Linked DNA regions of Cricetulus griseus. The protein of the gene in region 4 purifies or fractionates together with the protein of the main gene of each other region. This does not show direct contact. Links are inferred from orthologs where the notes say so. Each region holds a gene or a part of one and is shown on either strand. Other genes may lie near its edges.

Evidence for each region.
Region 1: the proteins of Ppme1 (region 4) and Ppp2r2a purify together in Homo sapiens (affinity purification with mass spectrometry; 3 studies listed by BioGRID and IntAct, with this or other methods). This does not show direct contact. The link is inferred for Cricetulus griseus from reciprocal best matches to the Homo sapiens genes PPME1 and PPP2R2A.
Region 2: the proteins of Ppme1 (region 4) and Ppp4r2 purify together in Homo sapiens (affinity purification with mass spectrometry; 3 studies listed by BioGRID and IntAct, counting the BioPlex papers as one, with this or other methods). This does not show direct contact. The link is inferred for Cricetulus griseus from reciprocal best matches to the Homo sapiens genes PPME1 and PPP4R2.
Region 3: the proteins of Ppme1 (region 4) and Ppp2cb purify together in Homo sapiens (affinity purification with mass spectrometry; 6 studies listed by BioGRID and IntAct, counting the BioPlex papers as one, with this or other methods). This does not show direct contact. The link is inferred for Cricetulus griseus from reciprocal best matches to the Homo sapiens genes PPME1 and PPP2CB.

Annotation. Positions count from the first base shown.
Region 1 is NW_023276807.1:222,050,415-222,056,214, forward strand, and holds the start of Ppp2r2a (serine/threonine-protein phosphatase 2A 55 kDa regulatory subunit B alpha isoform), read right to left. Parts: upstream 3,508-5,800; 5' UTR 3,205-3,507; coding exon 3,198-3,204; intron 1,480-3,197; coding exon 1,405-1,479; intron 1-1,404. UniProt on the Homo sapiens protein: Substrate-recognition subunit of protein phosphatase 2A (PP2A) that plays a key role in cell cycle by controlling mitosis entry and exit. Involved in chromosome clustering during late mitosis by mediating dephosphorylation of MKI67.
Region 2 is NC_048601.1:43,126,225-43,131,318, forward strand, and holds part of Ppp4r2 (serine/threonine-protein phosphatase 4 regulatory subunit 2), read right to left. Parts: intron 1,352-5,094; coding exon 1,181-1,351; intron 1-1,180. UniProt on the Homo sapiens protein: Regulatory subunit of serine/threonine-protein phosphatase 4 (PP4). May regulate the activity of PPP4C at centrosomal microtubule organizing centers.
Region 3 is NW_023276807.1:51,187,945-51,193,701, reverse strand, and holds the start of Ppp2cb (serine/threonine-protein phosphatase 2A catalytic subunit beta isoform), read left to right. Parts: upstream 1-1,950; 5' UTR 1,951-2,009; coding exon 2,010-2,111; intron 2,112-5,757.
Region 4 is NC_048596.1:99,184,905-99,189,998, reverse strand, and holds part of Ppme1 (protein phosphatase methylesterase 1), read right to left. Parts: intron 2,020-5,094; coding exon 1,865-2,019; intron 15-1,864; coding exon 1-14. UniProt on the Homo sapiens protein: Demethylates proteins that have been reversibly carboxymethylated. Demethylates PPP2CB (in vitro) and PPP2CA. Binding to PPP2CA displaces the manganese ion and inactivates the enzyme.

The DNA.
Region 1 (5,800 bases), on a different chromosome or scaffold from region 4:
ACACTGATTTTGTGACCATTGCTGAGTCACTCTCAAATTCTTTAATTCTTCCAAGTTTCTGGTTTCTTGCGTGAAAAAGGGATGAGCACCCACCAGAAAAACAAGGGTGGGGAATCTATAAAATATGACAACTACACCAGTGACTTCCAATAGGACTCACCACACTGAGCACACATCAGTGACAAATGTCACCACACAAACATCTAGTTAGTCAACAATCTTTGCCCTACCACTACCTGAAAAAAAATCATCACAACAGCACTCTGTGGTTGGGAGGAGGCACCCCAACCTCACCAGGGAAAGGTGCACTCTAGAGAAAGGGTCATACATTTTCAGACAACCTTCTGAAAACCAGAAGTCTGCTGTAATTTGTCTGACTTCTATTAAGAAAAATCCCACTATTCTGCTGGGGAAACTCTTCTTGAGTTCAAGGCCAGCCAGGGATTGTCTCAGTGCGTGCGTGCGTGCGTGCGTGCATGCGCATGTCTCTCTCTCTCTCACACACACATACACACACACACACACACACACACCACACACACACACACACACACACACACACACACACACACACACACACACACACCCCCCCAATCCCAGGGATTGTCTCAGTGCGTGCGTGCGTGCGTGCGTGCATGCGCATGTCTCTCTCTCTCTCATACACACACATACACACACACACACACACACACACACACACACACACACACACACACACCCCAATCCCACAAACCTGCAGTATTTCTGAACAAAGAAATAATGTAACCATCCTTTTGGAGATTATCTGTCTCTAACAAAAAAGATTGTCTCAGAATGAGTACAAGGCCTTCACATTCCAAAACTTCAGAGAAGTTCTAAAATAAATTAGCAAGGTTCTATCTCAAAAAGTCCCCTAGAAAAGTGATTTATTATTATATCTTAACTGCACATATGAATCCCTGAAAGATAATATAAAGTGAATAATTTGAGCCAGCATTTTTTCAGCAAACATGTTAACCAATACTACAGTCACAAAGTAGTTAAGTTCAAAAGAACTTAAGTCTCCTCATAGAATAAAAGATTTCTGAGCTAAGTGTTCTTGGCATCTATTCCTGCTTAATTATCTAAAGACAAAACACAAACATCCAAGTCCAGTTATTTGCATGTAGAATGTATGTAACAAGGAAACCTCAATTACAGGAACCTCAGAGCACTTACTGCTCACCATTTACTTCATTAACTCAATGAAAAAATAAAACAAGACAGAAAAAGAGATGTAAAGACTTTTTCAGAAAGATGATTTTTAAAACTATTGTCCCACCTCTTGGACAACACAAAACATTCTTCAAGGCTCAGTTTAGTTCGTGTTCCTTCAGTACACAGAACTTAAGTCAACACTCAGTTGTCATGGTTAAACTTTCTTACCTTCTGCTACATCATCATCTACTGCTCCTTTCACCTGAGAAAAACACCATTGAATATCATTCCCTCCTCCAGCTCCTAGAAGAAGAAAACATAGCAATTAAAACGGAGTTCTGTTCTGTTTACTCTCATAAACACGGAGATGGTATCTGAGACTAGCATGATACTACCCACATACACAGTCACCACTGAGCCCACGAATTTGGAACCAAATAAGTTCTGACAGCTGGTAGAGCATTCAAAACAAGACTGCAGGTATGAAATATTCAAAGGCATACAGTCTATCAATCATTATCATCGTAAAGATATTCAAAACCTCATTTCCACTTTCCCTGCCCCTTGAAGACAAAGCCTTTCACGTAAGACCTACCAGAAACCAAAGTAAATACCCAAAGTTAGTTTTCCTTTAAATGTGCAAAGGGCTAAACTACCATGAAATATAGAACGAAGAGAAAACTTCGGGAACATTACTTCCTGAGAGGAGGAGTGATTCATGTGAGCCCTACCACCGAAGCATGGACACAGCAAACACAACACCCATTTCTTTGCATTCATTAGGCGCAAATCACTGGCTGCAGACACAGGAAAAGGGGTGGCAATGAATGCCTGGTCAAAGGATGGTCAAAGGATGCTGACTCTGCCTCCTTTCACCTAACCAGAGAACCCAAAGGGCCCAGAAAGAGCAACTTTGCTAATATGTCATCTCCTACAAAACAGTTCCAATTATCATTTCATTGTTCGGCAAGGTCAAAGGGCAGTTTGTTTGTATAGTAAATGGTAAATCAGCCCAACATAACTTCTTTAGAAGTCCTATTATCTATGCAAATATGGAAAAGACAAGGAAAACTGGTTTAATCTCAGACACTGCCCGGGACTGAAAAGGAAATTGGGGGGGGGGGGTGGCACGACACTCCTGGATTTCTGGGAAAGAAACTGAATCTCAATCTAGAATTACTCTACTAGCAGAAGGGCTTCAAGATCAAAATGTACAAAGATAACCGACTCTCAAAGGCTATTAACCCTCGCTTTTCCTTTACCTGTTCCTTGCTAAATTATTCTCAATCAGGGTTTCTCCGTGCTTTTCCCCCACTGCAAGCTTTTATGAAATCTCTCTCTCCTCTTTCTCTCTCTATTTATATCACTGAACTCCACAACTATTTTAACTCCGAGAAACCCTTCTGGGAAAAGGACATCTGCACGAACGATAGCGTGCAAAATGCAAAGTTTAAATTACCTGTTTCTCCCCACCTCCCACCCCAACCCTTAACAACTTCTATTAAAGGCCTAGCACTCGTGGTGACAACGACTAAGTCATGGGAGGGAGCACAGTCGCCACGAAATTCAGGCTTACACCCTCAAAATCTGACCTAGCCATAACGTGTGTGTGTGGGGGGGGGGGACATATGCCTCCATTGTATTTTAACTTGCAAAGCGCTCTTCCTTATCCGTGCAGGATATGTTTCTGCAGGAAGGCTCGCAGCAGACGAGGAAGAGTGGAATGACTATGTGCGGAGGAGCGGAGGGAGCAGGGTGCAGAGGGGACCCATCTGCACGCCGGCACCCGCCCCACCCACGCAGGCCCCCACCCCCACCGCACCCGTGCCCGAGCCCGTGCCAGGCCCAGGGCCCTGCCTGCAGGCCCCACCATCCCAGCCCAGTGCCAGGCCCGCCCGCCCGCCCCGCACTCGGCCAGCGCCCCAGGCCAAGGCCCCTCCGCCACGGTCGCTAGGGGGTGACGGAGAGCGCGCAGAGGAAGCGGCACCCTGTCAGCCGGCCGAGGGCCGTTTCTCCTTTACCTGCCATGTCGTGCAGCAAATGATGACCCTGCCGGGCTCCTCGGGGTCTCCGCGACCGGGGCTCAGCCCCCTCACCTGGGGATGGGGGGATCGAGGGCGCGGATGGAGGCGGATGGCACCTGAAGGGGGAGGGGACGGGAATCGGGGCGGAAGGGAAGCGGCTCAGGCGGAGCGGCCGGCAGGATAGAAGCTTTCACTCGGGGGCGTCCCCTCTCGTGATCCTTCTCCCCGGTGGGCAGCGGCGCGGCGGCGGCGGCGGCGGCGGCGGCGGCTACGACAGCGACGGCGGCCCGGCGGCAGGGGCAGGCGACTCCACTTTCAAAATGGCGCCCGCTGGCTGGCCGGTGACGTCACTCCAGGGGGCGGAGCGCCTTTGGGGTGGGTCGCGCTGTGTTGGTCACGCCTCCTTCCTGCCCGGCTCTCGCTCCGCCCCGCCCGCTGTGACCCTGCTCTGAGCTCTGCACCGAACTGGGGCAGTGGTTAGTTGCTCTGGCTGTGGACTATGCCAAGTTGGCCCACAGTGCCCAAGTGGGCCGGCAGCTTGGCCTGTCTGCACCTCACACTGTCCCAAAGCCTTGCACCAGGGCCGGGACTCCAGGATGGTCTCATCTGTCTACTTCTCACCCACAGGGTGAGCTGGCTCTCCCTGGAGAAGACCCTTTAGATGCTCCAGCGACACTGGGTGAGCCCCAGGGACACCAAAATAAAGGGACAGTGATGCATACTCGTTGCCTGTCCAAGGTGAGAGTTCACAGAGCCCAGAAAGACACAACTGGGCTGGTTCCATCTGGGTGAAGTAGGTTACCTTCCCATGGATGAGAGTTCTTGGCTACCGCAAACAGTTAAGAATGGCTCCCGACAGAAAGTTAAATGTGTTGTGAATGGCACAAAAAAAAAGTGACTCAGGTCTGTTCAGATAAAAGTGGTAAAATCAATGATTGAGAATCTATATTCTGCTGGCTGTGGTGACACATGCCTACAATCTCAGCAGCACTTTGTGAGGTGAATGTAAGAGGCTCCAAATTTTAAGGATACCTGAACTATATAATGAGTTTGAGGCTAGCCTGGGCTACCTATATGAGACCCTGTCTCACATACACACATCAAACAAAAAAGGAGAAGAAACTAAATCTATTTAAATGTAGCCTCTTCCAGTCAGACTTTTCTGACAGTTTCTTCCATTTCCGGCTCACCTTTAGCTAGGTTGGGTGCCCTTGTTTAATAGTGTCAAGGTAGTAGTGGTGATGCAGTCCTTTAATCACAGTACTCAAGAGGCAGAGGCAGCTGAATCCCTGTCTGAGGCCAGCCTGATCTACAGAGCTAGTTCCAGGACAGCCAAGGCTACACAGAGAAACCTTCTCTTGGGGGGTGCGGGTGGGGGTAGGAGAGATACTCTCAGGTCCAAAGGAAACTCCAAGTCTCCAAACTCCAAAAGGCAGTCCAAATATCCAGAAATGAGCTCAACCTGGACAATAGGAGGATTTCTAGCAGTTAGATAAAAGCTAGCATTCCTCAGGAACTTGTGAAGGTATTTCCCCTCTACCAAAAAAAAAAAAAAAAAAAAAAAAAAAAAAAAGAAAAAAGAAAAAAAAAAGAAAAGAAAAGAAAAGGTCATTTCCCTCATCTCTGGCAGAAAGGACATATGGCTACCTGTGGTGCCTATCAGCACATCAAAGCACATTCTGGTATCACTAGTACCTGTTACCCAATTTCAAAGTCCATGCTAGCATCCCAGCCCGTCTCACCTCCTCTCCTACTCTAAACTCCCTCCAGCTCTCAGGTTTTCCTCACCCAGATTCTCATTCTCCTTCTAACCCTGCTATTCTCACTATATACTCTATCCCCTGCTATTCTCCCCTCTCTGGCCATGTCAGTCTACTTCTTTCTCTTTCAGCTCTGGACTCTTCCAGATGCCTCTGACTTTGATCTCTCTCTCTCTCTCTCTGATATATACACACACACCTATAATAAAACCCTCCCCTTAACCATACTATGAAGTGGTCATGTTGTCAGTTTATATAGTCTCATAAAGTATAATGCACTTTTCTATTTTTTTAAACCACATTAAAATGATCTCAGTCTGTGTCTGTTATTACACTGAATTCTTTGAGGCTAGGAAGTGTGTTATTCACCTCCCTATCACCAGCAACATAATTCATGAGATTAATGAATGAATAAACAAGTCTTTCTGACTTGGGAGAAAAACCATTTAAATGCTGCCTCCTTAAGGTTTGTAAATTTTTTCACTCATCTTTTTTTAATTTTTAAAAATTAATTTTATTTTATGTGTATGAGTGTTTTGCCCGAGTGTATGTATATGCACCATGTGCATGCCTGGTGCCCTCAGAAGTCAGAAGACAGTGTCAGATCCCCCCGGACCTGGAGTTACAGATAGTTGTGAACTTCCATATGGATGCTGAGAATCAAACCCGTTCCTCTTCAGAAGAAGCAAGAACTCTTAACTGTTGAGCCAACTCTCACTCTTCTTAACTCTGGAAAGGAAGAGACATTTTATAAATCATCTTGGTGATCTCACCTACATCTATTAAACAACTGTTTGGCAAATAAGTAAATTGTCTGTAAATACATTTGCTCTAGCTACT
Region 2 (5,094 bases), on a different chromosome or scaffold from region 4:
CAAATTCCTAAGCTTACAATGGAAATAAGAAGCTGAGAATGGTGGTGTGCTTTTAATGCCAACAGGAATAAGGAGGCAGTGGATCTCTGTGAATTCAAGGGCTATGTTAAGACCCTGTCTCAAACTCCAGTCCCCCAAAAAAATAAGGCTATTTGTGGTATGAAAACACAATTAAAACCTCTTCTCATAACGCCTACCAATAAGCAGGATCTTATTAACAGAACCCAATTCACTGTATTTCATGCTGTTGTCACGTTTCAAATTACTAGTGCCAAATGCAATACTCAACAACTCAACTTCACAAACCCATCATTCCTTCAGTAAGTTCTAAACAAGAATTTAATGAATACTAGGAAGCACAGCAACATTTTTAAAGTATCATATTCATTTAGTGTTCCTCGTGTTTTCAGTGTTTTACAAAAGATTAAAAACATTTAGCTATTGGGAGAAAGGGTGAAGCAAACTCTAAAATAAATGAACCTCTTGAGTACAAATAAGTCTTCACCAAATATCAAGATAATACCAAGAAAACATTAAAATATTTCTTAATAAACGAAATGTTGCTATCTTGATAAATGCATGTATAAAGTATAAAGTATGAATACCCCTGAAACTCATAAAATCAGTCAATTTTTTTTCAATGATGATTATAAACATTTAAAATACTTTTGAGCCAAGCTGGGCAGTGGTGGTGCACACCTTTGATCCCAGCACTTGGGAAGCAGAGGCAGATGGATCTCTGTGAGTTTGAAGCCAGTCTTGTCTACAGATCGAGTTCCAAGACAGCCTCCAACAAACAAAAAACAAAACAACAAAAAACGGGAGGGGAGGAGATTTATGAGCCAAAATTTGGCAAACACACCTGGGTGGTGGTGGTATAGGTCTATAATCCCAGCACTTGGGAGGCAGAGGCAGGTGGATCTTTGAGTTCGAGGCCGGCCTTATCTACAAATTAAATTCCAACACAGCCAGAGCTGTTACAGAGAACCCCCCCAAAAAAACACTAGAGATACAAGAGTCAATTACCAACCAGATATAACAAAAATTAAAGAAATAACATCTATGTGGTTAAATTTAAATCTTTAAGTTGTTGTTGTTGTTGTTGTTGTTATTATTATGTGCATACCCATTATTATTATTATTATTATTATTATTATTATTATTATTATTATGTGCATACCCATTAAATCCAGTGACAATTTTCAGTATTCTTTCCTTCATTTCATCAAAGGGAATATATTCAACATTTGGATTGGGAGGACCTCTTGGTTCAGGAGCTGAAGTTCTGAAATCATCCATCACTTTCTCCAGTTTGAAAATAAAATAACCTTTAAATTGGGACCACTGAATCCTATAAAGAAAAAAAGTCAGAAAATATTAACAATTACCCTTGCAAATACTTAACACTAAATACAGACACTATAAAGATGCTCATGATTTCCATGCTATAATGCTTACACAGACTAGGAAAGTTTCCCACCATTAGAAGTATAAAATAAGCCACATCCAACACCTGAGAGATGAAGTGTCTTAGGGTTTCTATTATTGTGAAGAGACACCATGACCACAGCAACTCTTATAAAGGAAAATATTTAATTGTGGTAGCTTATTTATAGTTTAGTATATTATCATCATGGCAGGAAACAATGGTGCTGGAGAAGGAGCCCAGAGTTCTTACATCTTGGCCCACGGGCAATAGGAACTGGTCTGGGACACTGGGTATGACTTAAGCATACATAAGGCCTCAAAGCCTGTCTCCACAGTGACACACTTCCTCCAGCAAGACCACACCCAATCCAACAAGACCATTTCTCCTTATAATGCCACTTCCTATGAGCTTAAGGGAGCAAATTACATTCAATCTACCACACTAAGGCAGGAAGATCTCTGAGAGTTTAAGGTCAGTCCTGTCTACAAAGTAAGCTCTAGGCCAATCCACACAGTGGATTGGGGGGGGGGCTCCCCGCAGGACCAAACCCCGCCCCCCCCAAAAAAAACAACGAAGTTCTTTTTTTCCTGCCTTTTCAGTCACTGTCATGTGAGGTATTCACGGTACTGGTCCCAGTCTATCTGACATAGTAATAAAGTACACAAGCTACAAAGATGGCTCAATGTTTAAGGCACGCACATCTCCAGCATAAGGACAAACAAGAGTATGGATCCCCAGAATGAAGTACTAGGTAGAATCAGTGGCCTGTCTATAATTCTAGCACTTAGAAGGCAAACTGAGGCTGGGCATTGGTGGCGCACGCCTTTAATCCCAGCACTCGGGAGGCAGAGGCAGGCGAATCTCTGTTGAGTTCGAGGCCAGCTTGGTCTCCAGAGCGAGTGCCAGGATAGGCTACAAAGCAACACAGAGAAACCCTGTCTCAAAAAAAAGAAGGCAAAGATGGAAATCCCTGAAGCTGTCTGGCCAGCCAAACAAGCTGTACCAGCAAGCTCTGGGTTCAACAAAAGACTTGACCCCACTCAACAAATTATGGTGGAAAAAGAATTCCAACAGCATCCTTTGACTACAAAGATGAAAACACACACACACACACTAACATATAGACATGCACACATGAATGAGACAAAATATACAAGTAACCTATTTTTTATGTCTATTCACTGATGGGTAGTAATTTCCTCCAAAATAAAACACTAACACTGACCAGCTCACTACAACCCATCTTCCCCAAGCTCATATAAGCAGTAAGAACTGATGACTTTGTAAGTGTATAGATGTTGTCTGAAAGCTTGTATGTGAACCCCCTGGGTGCCTGCTGCCCAAGGAGGCCACAAGAGTGTGTCAGATCTCCTGAAACTGGAGTTGCAAGCAATTGTGAGGTGCCACATCGGTGCTGGGAATCAAAACCCAGGTACTCTAAAAGAACAACAGCAAGTGCTCTTAACCCCAAACACTCTTATACAAGCTGAGTAACCCAGAAGACGCCCAGATCAGCTCTGCTGCCTAAAAGATACATTCTCTGACCTGATCAGCTGGCTAAAAGTGGCAGAGTGTGTTCCATATTTCCAGGTTTTGTATCTTGCCAGGTATGCTGGGGTTGACTTTTAATGATAAAACTGCCTTAGAGTCACTTCTGCTCTTGTAATTAACACTTTATCCATACTCCTTTAAGTTAACACTAGTATAGGCTTGAATAGGAATGACCCCCATAGGCTCTGAATTTATGTGGTCATTAGGGAGTGGCATTACTTGACAGGGATTAGGAAGTGTGGATTTGTTGGAGAAGTATGTCACTGGGGGTGGGCTTTGGGGTTTCAAACACTCAAGCCAAGCCCAGTGTCTCTCTCTTCCTGCTGTCTGTGGGTCATGATATAGACGAACTCTCAGTTCCTTCTCCAGCACCCTGTCTGCCTGCTTCCTGCCAAGCTGATAATGGACTAAACCTCTAAACCATTGTAGATCAGGCTGGGTTTCGAACCCATAGAGATCTACCTGCCTCTGCCTCTAAACCAGCAGTTCTCAACCTGTGGGTTGAGACCCCTTTGGGGGAGGGGGTTCAAACAACACTTTCATAGGAATGGCCTAAGACCACTAGAGGATACAGATATTCACATTATGATTTACAACAGTAGCAAAATTAGAATTATAAAATAGCAATGAAAATAAGTTTATGGTTGGAGTGCCCACAACATGAGCACACATTAAGAAGGTTGTGAACCAGCCGGGTGGTGGTGGCGCACGCCTTTAATCCCAGCACTCAGTAGGCAGAGGCAGGCGGATCTCTGTAAGCTCAAAACAAGCCTGGTCTACAAGAGCTAGTTCCAGGACAGCCTCCAAAGCCACAGAGAAACCCTGTCTCCAAAAACCAAAAAAAGAAAAAAAAAGAAAAAAAAAAAGGTCATGAACCACTACCTAAAATGTAAGCAAGTCCTAAAATTAAAATCCTTCCTTTAAGAGTTACTGTGGTCATGGTGTCTCTTCAGAGACACTGAACATTTGACTAAAACAACCAGTAAGTATAAACTGAGCCAGTGCTCATGGAGGTGGACTTTGGTGATGTCCTTACTTTGGTCTGACAATGGTTCCTAATCAAAGGTGAGTAGAGGTTTGTTCATGTCTCTCTGGGAATAGTACCAGATCTTTTAATCCTTCCCTCACATTTTACCATTAATATAAGAAAAGATGTGAAGATGATACCTGAACAGTCTAAATTATACAAAAGTTAGGGATGACACCTATTTTCTTGTGCAGACAGTAATCTCACTAAATGTAATTACAGAAAAGAGTATTAATTTGCTACATGACTGTCTAGCATCCCTATAAACTAGGAGTATAGTTTCCAATTGTGATTCAGGAGATCAGACAATGCTGTATGGAAATGATGATAACCTAGCAGCAATCCAGAAGCTGCATCAAATCACACTAACATTACTATAAGAAATTCAGTTTTGTTTTGTTCTGTGCTTTAAATCTGGGGCTGGAGATGTAACACAGTTGGTAGAATGCTCACCTAGCATAGATGGTGTGCCCTGGGCTTGATCCCTAGCACTCTACAAATTGGGCATGGTAATGTAAAACTGTAATTAGAGCAGTTGTGAAATGGAGACAGATCATCAGAAATCCAAGATCAGCATGGGCTAACATGAGATAAAACCCTCCCCATCCTTTTCATTTTAACAACCCACAACCACCAAGGTCAAGAGCAGTTCAAAGGTCCTGAGGAAGTGCAAGTAGTGTCACAGACTGTAATTCCAGCTACTCAAGAGGCTGAGACTGGAGAATCACTTGAACCCAGTTCCAGATCAGCCTGTCTCAACATAACATTTCCTGAAGAAGTAGGAAGGTTCGTGATCAACAAAATTAGTTCATAGACTTTGGATATTAAATGGAAAATTCATGACAGATTTTTGTGCTGATACACAGAAACTACAGGATTGATGTAGGTTTAGAATTGTTGGCAGGGCAAAGAGCTTGCTGCTAAATCTGATGACCTGAGTTCAATCCCTGGAACCTACACTGTGGAGAACCAAACTCTTGCAAGTTGCCCTCTGATCTCCATGGGCCCTGTTACACATATGTCTATCACCCCACAGTTAATTTAAATTTTAAAAATGCCCCTTCATCACTGGCATGGAGGCCCTTGC
Region 3 (5,757 bases), on a different chromosome or scaffold from region 4:
TCCCTCCCTCTCTCTCTCTCTCTCTCTCTCTCTCTCTCTCTCTCTCTCTCTCTCTCTCTCTCTCTCTCCCTTCCTCCCTTCCTCCCTCCCTCTCTCTCTCTCTCCATTTCTTCAGGCAACTTCAAAGGGTTTTTCCTGGAGAGAAAGTTTAGGATTCAGTTCAGATGACATCCTTTTGATGAATTCTGCAATCATTCTCTAAAATAAGGAAATTAATATATTGCTGAACTACTGAACAGACACTTTTTACATTTCAGCTTTGAGCCAGGTGTAGTAGGAGGTGGAGACAGGAGCATTAGTTCAAGGTCAGGTCATCCCCAATCACAGAGCAAATAGCTAGCCTGGAATACAAGAAACCTTGTCTAAAAAAAAAAAAAAAAGAAAGAAAAAGAAAAAAAAAAAAAGTCAGAGTGCTTGCGTACAAGCCTTGCAACCTGAGTGTGATGCCCAGACCCCACCTAAAGCTGGAGAGAACCCACTCCACAAAGTTTTTCTCTGACTTGCAGACTTGTGCCCTGGCACAAAGGACCCCCTCATGATATTAAATATTCTATTTACACAACTGACAAAGATTGTGTTTATTTCAAGTGATGACAAATCTGCCACTTGAGGTAGTTTGGGGGTTACCCCATGCTGAGAAAGTGGCAAAACCTACTCAGGAACACGCCTTGTGATAAAGGGTGCTGTTTGCCACTTGAGTTCAGCAGAGGCTGAACACAGTTCAGACAGAGGAAGTATGGTCATTTAGCACAGTTTTACAAGGTCTCAGTGGCTAGCCCCTGCTATATAAAGAAATCACTAATTACAACCAAAGTATCAGTTACAGCAAAGAATGTCAAGCTGGAATGGCCACAGATAACTTTAGAAATCACTTTATGGGTTGGAGAGATTAGCTAGCTAAGGGGTTAAGCCTAGCCATATATATATATATATATATATATATATATATAATATATATATATATATATATATCTTTAAATGCCAGCACTAAGGAAGCAGAGGCAGGAGCATCTCTGAGACCGAGGCCAGCCTGGTCAACAGAGCGAGTTCCAGGACAGCCACAGCTATACACAGAAACTCTATATGGAAACATACAAAAAAACCAAAAAAGTTTAAAAGGTTTACTCTTGCAGAGGCTCCAAGATCCACTTCGGATCTCCCTAAGCACCCGCACACACGCGACATAGACATAAATAAATCCTTTTATAAAACATTATTTTATCTCCGGGCGGTGGTGGTGCACACCTTTAGGTAGAGGCAGGTGAATCCCTGTGAGTTCGAGGCCAGCCTGGTCTTCAGAGTTAGTTCCAGGACAGGCTCCAAAGTGATACAGAGAAACCCTGTCTCGAAAAACAAACAAGAAAGGGTCCGAGATTTGGGGCCTCGCAACTAATTAGTGCTAAGAGTAGAAACTAACTCGATACAGATCTAGTGCCTGTTCTAGGACTGTGAAATGTTGAGAGGAAAGCCCAAGCTTCCCAGCTCCCCGGCGCAGACGGGGGTCCAAGGCTAGAACCGGATTCCCAGAGGGAGGAATGGGAAGGACGCTGGCCCGGGGCCCCCGAGGACCGTTTCTCCGCCGAGCCGCGCGAGGGCGCTGCTCGTCTCCTCGTGAGCCGAGCCCGGCGGCCCCGCCCACTCGCCTTTTCCCGGCGGAAATGCCGGGGCGATGACGGAAACCCGGAGGGAGGGAAGAGAAAGAGCGAGAGAACCCGGGCCAGAGCGCGGAGAGGCCTGCGGGCGGCGGCGGCGGAGGCAGCGGGCGGACGCGGTCGGGCCGGAGCGTCCCCCGAGCCGCGCCGCGCTGCGCGCTCCGAGCCGTGTGCCCTTGGCGCCCCGGGGCGCGTGGCCGGGCCGGGCGGGGCGGGGCGGGAGCTCCCGGAGGCCGCGGCCCGCAGCTGCCCGCTGGGCTTGGGCGGGGCGCGGGCTGCGCGCTCCGCGGCTCGGTGGTCCCGCCGGGGGCCGGCGGCGGCGGCGGGGGAGGCGGCGGGGACGCGCGGCTCGCCGCCATGGACGACAAGGCGTTCACCAAGGAGCTGGACCAGTGGGTGGAGCAGCTGAACGAGTGTAAGCAGCTGAACGAGAACCAAGTGCGGACGCTGTGCGAGAAGGTAGGCGGCCCGCCGCGGAGGCGCGCGCGGGGGAAACGGGCCCTGGCCCCGCCTGGAGTGCGGAGTGGGGTGCGGGGACCTCTCCCCCCCCCCGAAGATCAGGCAGCTGCAGCCTCCTAAAGACACGGACGACTCTCCTCAAAGTCGTTAACACTGAGACTTGGTTAGCGTGGGATTGTTCGCGGGTGACGGGGGCGGGGAGGGGGGCTCCGAAAACCACGGAGTGCATGAAGCTTTTGTTTGCACACTAGTGGGCGTGATGGCAGGCGGCCCTTCAGCCGGGCTCACTTCGGTGGAGGCTGGTGGTGGCTGTGGTCTTGGTGGTGAGTGGCTCTTGGGACGGATGGTTTCTTTTTCAGGAAGAAGGCAGCAGGTGTTGAGTTTGGAATCCGTGTTTACTGGCAAAGAGAACTGGGATGTGTGCTATTTATAAGCTCCAACATTACAGAAAGTTACTTCCATTTTTACCGCGAGTAGCCCACACACACACACACACACACATCCTTAGACCTTGCAGGTGATGGATTGGGGGGGAAAAGACCTTCTTGATCGTGTTTCCGTAGCTTTCAGAAATCTGTATCCACTGATTTATTAATTGCTGGAATTTTTAAAGTCTACTTTTTCATTCCTCTTTTATATTTGGACTAAATCTCGTCCCTGTATTTTCCTGTTAAAGAGTCCCACAAAAGAGTAAAGGAGTTAATTATTTCACGCGTGAATCTATACATTTTTCTTAGAAGTCGGGATACTACTAAAGAATTTTGTCCATCTTATTTATAAACACTCTTTACTAGGGGTGGGGGGGCAATAACCCATGGAGTGTTTTTCAAGAGTTCGGTGTTGTCCAAGTCCTTTTTGTATTCAATACTTAGCCCAGGAGAGTGTCTTCAAGTAGAACTGTGGAGAAAATGGTGTTCCCCCCACCATGAAAGTGTTTGCTTCTAGCCTCAGCTAACTTTTATTTTTCTTGTGTGATAACCTATAGTTTCATAATTCTCAAAATTAACCCTTTAGATGATCTCTCTCAAGCTAGTGTCACCGAGCTGTCCAGTTTGGAAATTGGCTGAGTCAGTCAGCCTTATTGTAATTGTGACATCCAAAACTGAAGGTACAGAGCAAGAGGTGGCTGAATCAGTTCAGGGTTCCCCTTTGACTTTGTAGTAATTTTAGGATCCGTCCTTGCAGAAGGTTGTTCCACTGCTGTGAAGTGTCACGTTTGAGTCTTAAACTCTTAGGAAGCTTTCTGAATCTGCTTTTTTAAAAAAATCGTTTTTCTTTTAACCTTGGCTTCTAAAAATCTGGATTACCAGTTCGTAGCACCATGTAGTGAATTTAAGCTGACATCTTAGGCTGTGAGTGAGTTTTCTTTGCAGATGAACACTAATTCACAGAGTATCACCCATTCCTTCCTCCTCTAATGCATAGGATGGAGTTGCTTGTAGGAGAGGCTTCTTAATGCCCCTTTTCACCATCTGTGGTGTGGGGGGAGATGGGTGTGTTTTCTTTAGTCCCTAGTCCCTTTTTGTAATAGGTTTAAAGGTTTATTAATTTTTAATTATGTGTCTGCGTGCTTGGTGCTCATGTCTGAGGAATTCAGAGGCGTCAGATCTCCTGGAACTGGCTGGTGGTGAGCCACGTGATGGTGGGATCCTGGGAACTAACCGAACTCTGGTCCTCTGTAAGAGAGTACAGGTCTTACCTGCTGAGCCATCCTGTCTCAGTCAGCCTGTTGGAATTCAGTACACCCGATGCCTATCTAAGGCAGGGATGATACTTAGCTTCTTTCAGGTGGAAGATCTCAAGAGGCTCCTCATGCAGCCCCACAGTAAGTGAGCACTCAGGGAACACTAGCGAATGAGAAAGGCTATGTGCTTTTTCAGCTCGTTTCAGTTGTCACTCCACTTGGGAAAGAAATGTAAAATGGATGTGTTGAGACTTCTGGTGATTGGACTTGAAAGGAGATTTTGTGGCCCTAACCAAAACTTCGTGTTTCCTGTTACCTTCAGCACACAAACTACTGGGGTTTATAGCAATGTTATAAAATAAACAACTTTACTTCCCAGTTGGTCTTGTGGATACTCTACCTTTCCAGAGCAAGAATGTCTTGTAGGAAGGATGTAGGAGAAAGTCAGACGTGCACATCACCTACCTTTAATTCCTTTTGGCTAGTCTTTTAGTTTTTTCATGTGTGTATGTATATAATGTGTTTGTAGTGCACATGGCAGGCGGATGAGGGGTCAGAGGCCTACTGTGAGGAGAAGGTCCTCTCCTTCCACCTTATGTGAGCCCTGGGGATCGAACTGAAGTCTTCAGGTTTGGGCCTCGAGTACCTTTACCTTCTGAGCCATTTCTCGGGCTAAAAGAGTTATTAACTTTTTATGAAGAGCAGGTCTCAGGATGTAGTCCTAGCTGCCCTGGAACATTTATGTAGACCAGGCTGACCTCAAACTCTGCCTGCCTCTGCCTTCTGGGTGCTGGGATTAAAGGGGAGCACCACCACGCTTAGCCCACCAAATTTTTTTAATGATATGCTTTTTTTTATATTTTGTTTGCTGTAGCACTCTGTAGAAAGAAAGGTTTTTCCCCTAGAAATTAAATTCCTATCATAATTGAGCTTGTCTGAAATGGAAGTAACTGAAGTGGTCCTGTTAAGGCCCTGTATGGGGTAATGGCGGTCAAGCTCTTCCCACTGTCGGAGGGTAAATAGCTTCCATAGGGCCAGCACAGAAAGGTGTCTGCCTTCTGAAGTGAATGGCTGTCGCTCATCTAAATTAGCAGCCCAGAGTCTGAAGTTAATTGTGAGTCTGACTCTTCTGTGGGCAGAAATACAGCTTCTGGAACTCCTTCCTGCGATGACAGTGTGCACAGCAGCTTTTAAAGATGGTGTGCTGGAGGAGCCAGGCTGGCCCAGCCAGAACGTTCTGTGACTACAACTATATTTAACTCTCATCTTGGGAAGAGTAAAAAAAATTTTTTTGACCTGTTAAGCTTTATTTTATAACTGAAGAATGTTTGTACGATAATCCAGGGGCAAGAGGGGGGAGCTGCTTCCTGTTTTGGCAGGTACCTGTTTTAATCTTTAATCAGAAAACCTGAGGCTAGTATAGAAGTAATGTGTAAATTCTAGGGCTAGAGAGATAGCTCCCAGTTAAAGGCTAGGCTCACAACCAAAAGTGTAAGAAATACATGTGAACTCTATGTTGGATTGATGGTGTGTTTCATAGCTTGGCTTCAAAGCCTCCTAATCGGACACTGAAAATTTAAGTTCATACTGTGAAAGAGCACACACCTCTAAAGTGGAAGAGCAGATCATTGTAGAAAGAGCATGTCAGTTGAGATACTCCATTACTCTCTGTGCTAGATACAACTTTAAACAAAAATAAATGTGCTTTTAACGGGGTGTGGTGGCACACACCTTTAGTTCCAGCACTGTAGAGGTAGAGGCAAATGGATTTCTGTGAGAAGAGGCCAGCTTGGTCTCTGTAATGAGTTCCAAGACAGCCAGGCTACATGGAACAGACCTTATCTCCCAAAGCAAAAAAACAAGGTGGTTGTAAGTGCTAAAAACCCTAAGTGGCTATATAGCAAGTTTCAGGACAGCCAAGGCTTCGTAGTGAAAGCTTGCCTCAAGAAACAAAAACAAAAA
Region 4 (5,094 bases):
ATCCATGGCTGTACCTGATGTTAAACAAAAATTGTGACCACATAATAAACTGTTTTTGCTTTGCAATCTACTAAGTATTTTTTTTTCCAGGTTAATACACAAAATACTGGGTTTCATTATATACATGTCATTTTACCTTGTTCTCTATTGCTCCCCTCCCTGGCTACCCCTTTCATGCCCCACTCCAGCTGGTTCTTTTTCTTCCCCTAGTTAAGTTCACTCTTTTGCTTTTCTATCATATGTAATCCAAGGTACACTGACTCACCCCTTAGGATACCTCCCTCCCCTCTCATGATGATCTCCTTTATAGCTCTCCCTCCCTCTCTCACACATACACAATATTCTACATTTAGTTTCCACATGTGATAGGAAACATGCTATTTCTCCAAATCTGGCTTATTTTGCTTAATACAATGATTTCCAGTTGCATCTATTTTCCTGCAAATGTCATTACTTCATTTTTCTTATGGGTGCATAAAAATTCATTATGGCTACATACCACATTTTCTTTATCTATTCATCTATTATGGACATCTATGCTAGTTCCATTTCCTGGCTAGTGAGAACACGGAAGTATAAACATAGATGTGTAAGTATCTCTGGGATGCTGACTTAGAGTCCTCCAGGTATATATCCAAAAAAGGTAGAGCTGGGTCACATGGTAGTTGCATTTCCAATTTTTTGAGGAACTCCCATATTGAATTACAGTGTGGCTACACAAATTTACATTCCAGTCAGTAATGAATAAGGGTCCCTCTTTCCCCATATCCTTAACAGCACATGATATCAATTGTTTTATTGATGACAAGTGTCTACTCACCCAGACTGGGGTGAATAGAGTCTCAAAACAGTTTTAATTTACACACACACACAAAATATTAATCCCCAGTATGATCTAGCTTTCGGAGATCCTTTCCCATTCTGATGGCCATCTCTTTTTCACTTTGGTGATTGTTTCTTTTCTAAACAGAAGCTTCTTAGCTTCATGGAAATCCAGAAGTTAATTTTTCAGATTATTCCTTGTGCTATTGGAGTCCTACAAACTGTTGCCTACGCCTGTATCATCAAGAGAACAATACTCATGTTTATCTTCATATTCATAATGATGGAATGGCATTGCTTACACAGGAAGAATTCTTCCTCCTCAAGGTTTATGTATTGAAGGTGTATTGACAGTTGGTTGGATAATGAAGACACTATTGACATTAACTTTATCAATATATTAATCCATTGTTGAATGCACACTGTTTGGAGGCAGGGCCGACTTAGAGGAAGCAGGTAACTGGGATAAGCTCTGGGGGAGCACAGTTTCTTCCTAGTCTCCCTCTGTGTGATGTTCTGACACACACATTCTTAAAGCAATGGACCAAAACTTCTGATATCTGACCAAAACGAATCTTTTCTCCTTTAGATTGCTTAACTGAGATATTTTGTCACAGTGGTAAAAACTAACACACTGAGTCAGCTTATGTATTTGTTCCTGGTAATGTCAGAATTCAGTGATGTTTGGGTAAAAATAAAGATCTAGCTTCACGACAGTTTCCACTATGGCTCTCAGCAATTCTTGATTCACTCCTTGTGTGGCACACCACAGTGAGTATGGCTAACTTGTTCAAGGAGCAGTGAGATTCTCGGGGTAAGTCAGAAAATTTTATTAAAAGGCATTCATATGATTAGAAATATTATACAGCCATAAAAAGGTGTTAATGGAGAGTTTCTGGTAATACAGAAAATGGTTGTATAATTTTATAAAGGCACAAAGACATAGAGGCATACTTCAAGATGAGTGAAACTGAGAACAAATATGGCCAAGGTAATAATGTACCAGGAATATCTCTTATAAATTACTGAACCCAAAACTTACCTTCCACAACATCAATCATACAGAGGCCTAAGAGGCTTGGTACCAGGTTAGCTGATGCTGTGTGAACTGCAATGGCACCACCCATGCTGTGCCCGATCAGCATGACTGGAGGAGGGAGGTCCCCGTACATAGCTTCAACCACATTGCCAACATCCCTGCAAAGAGAGAAACCTTAGAGTGCTGGAGGTAGACACCAAAAATACCTTTCTTTCTTAGTTCCTTCTTTTGGGCTGTAACTAATAGTTGTGGGAAACAGTAAAGATCTACAGACCCACCCTACAAACACATCTATATGAGCCTGCTTACATGGTTCCTGGTATCTATGCAGAGAGCCACACACCCAGTTCTCCAGATAAATGCCTGGCTAAGGACTAAGAACTCTCAATTTCTGATCTTTATATCATCATTTTATCATCCTATACATGTAGTACATTCATATAAACATATAACTGTATGTTTAACCTCAGCTTGGCATTCTGGAGAAATAATTTACTGTAAGCCTCTGTTTTCCCAAGTATGATGCAATGAAGTTTGGGGTAATAAGATGACTGTGAGCCTCAGTTTATTTATATTACGTGTGTGTGTGTGTGTGTGTGTGTGTGTGTGTGTGTGTGTGTGTGTGTGTGTACATATGGAAATCAGAGGATAATTTGCAAGAGTTACTTTGAGCAATGAGTAAGAAGTGAATGTGAAATTCTTATCCACAAGTTAAAGGACTATTCAAAAGAAAAGACTCGCCGGGCATTGGTAGCGCATGCCTTTAGTCCTAGCACTCAGTAGGCAGAGGCAGGCAGATCTCTGTGAGTTTGAGGCCAGCCTGGTCTACAGAACGAGTTCCAGGACAACCTCCAAAGCAACACAGAAAAACCCTGTCTTGAAAAACAAAACAAAACAAAAACAACAACAACAACAACAAAAAACCCTAAGCTTCCTTCAAGCAGCATTGCTTCTAAAGACAAGACACCCTGTGAAAGGTAAAGTAATATAAGTGAAAGGAAAAACTACAATTTATTCAGTGTTTCTATGATTACTGAATGTCTCTCTCAAACTCATATATTTGCAAGTTAGCACTTTATCTGTTGGAAAAACAAATAAACATTGATAAAAATTAAGCATTACTGAGGCTGGAGAGATGGCTCAGCAGTTAAGAGGACCTGCTGTTCTTCCAGAGAACCCAGGTTCAGTTCCTAACACCCACAAGCCAGCTCACAACAATTTTGCTGGGAGTTGGTGACATCTGCCTTTAATCCCAGCACTTGGCAGACACAGGTGGATCACTGAGTTTGAGGCCAGCCAGGTCTACAAAGTAAGTTCCAGGACAGCAAGAGCTGTTACAAAGAGAAACCCTGTCTTCAAAAACCAAACCAAACCAAACCAAACAAACAAACAAAAAAGCCAGAACGATAAAGATAATCAGTGTTCATTCTTACTGGCTTTTGTTCTAGTCCTACAGTAAAGGTAGGACTTACAAAAGTGACTGGGTCATAAGGGGCTTGCCTCCTGAGTGAATTAACCCTTTACAGATTAATAAGTGGATCACAGATTATAAAGAGCACTCTCCCTGACTCACAGCTGTCTCACTACGTGAAATCCTCCATCATGCTATAATTCAAGACTAGCATCAGGCTCTAGACTTCTCGGACTCTAGAACACTGAGCCTAAATAAACCAACATTCTTTATGAATCACCAAATCTGTGGTCTCAGTGATGCAGAAATGGAAGGCAAGTTCCCATCATGTACTATGAGCTTTCTGTGTCATCTAGTGTAATTCTTCAGCAACCTTGTCTAAAAGGGTCCTTACTACTATTCCACAAGGAAGAAACTCAGACATATTTACCTGTAAAAATAACCAAGTCAATTAAGCTAATTGGGTCCACCAAAATATCACTGCATTTCCACCAAAGGGAGAAAAAAAAAAAAAAACCAAAAAACCTTCTGATTTCTGCTACCACGCTTAGTATATTTAAAGCCCTTTCTTTTGGAATCTAGCACTGTGGATCCAGAGTGATTCCATGAAGTCAACCCCATGATGCTTTGGCTCAGAGACTGCTAGTAAACTTCAAAAACAAAGATGACTTAGATAAGGAACAGTCTCTGGAAAAAGTAATGTAGGAGATTTATACGGTTTCAGAAAAGTAAAACCAAGTAGTATTCCTATATATCAACAGAACAGAAAAAAAAGTATGCTCATTCCTATATAAAGATATATGTATATGCACAGACAGACATGTACTAGAGGTTCAATTAATTATTCTCAAGCTATGTATGCTATGATTATATTATTTGGACGTATCTTTTATTAAGATTTAGAACAAATATCAATGTATAAACTCCACAATAATTTGCAATTCTAACAAAATTTTAGTGGGGAAGGATAAAATTAATAAAATAAAATGTTTTGGAAGACATCAAATTCCACACCTTAAAATATGCATTAATTGAGTTAAGACACTCTCTATGAAAGTTGTTAACGTATTAAGGTAGACAAGGTCTAAAATGCATGACAACTGGGGCTATATAGATGGCTCAGTGGTTAAGAACATTGGCTGCAATGAGGCAGTGGTGGTGCATGCCTTTAATCATAGCACTGGGGAGGCAGAGCAGAGGCAGGTGGATCTCTGAGTTCAAGGTCAGCCTAGTCTACAGAGAGGGTTCCAGGACAGCCTGAGCTACACAGAGAAACCCTGTTGTGAGAAAACAAAACAGAACAGAACAGCACTGGCTGCTCTTCTAGAGGTCCTAAGTTCAATTCCCAGCAACCTCATGTGGTTGTAATCATTTATAATGGGATCTGATGCTCTGTTCTGGTGTAAAGGAATACATGTAGACAGAATGTTCATACACATAAAACCACATAAACAGAATGCATCAACAACATCATATCTAAGCTTAGGAAAAGAGTGTTTACCCAAGCTGATAACAATTGATCAATCACTTGGAATTTATTCTTATAAAAGGCAACGGTTCTTAAATGCCGTTTATAGGACTGCCTACATCAGATTCCTTTATAGGCTATTTTAAGACTATAAGCACCAGGGTTTCTCTTCCAGAAGATGCATATTCAACTTCTAGCACCTAGATGGTAGCTCACAACTGTCTGAAATCCCAGTTCTAGGACATCTGGCATCTTCCTCTGACTTTTGCAGGTACTAAGTAAATGTGGTAAAACAGCCATATTCATAAATAATAAAAATATTTTAAGTATATTGTATGTCTAGATTTAACTTTT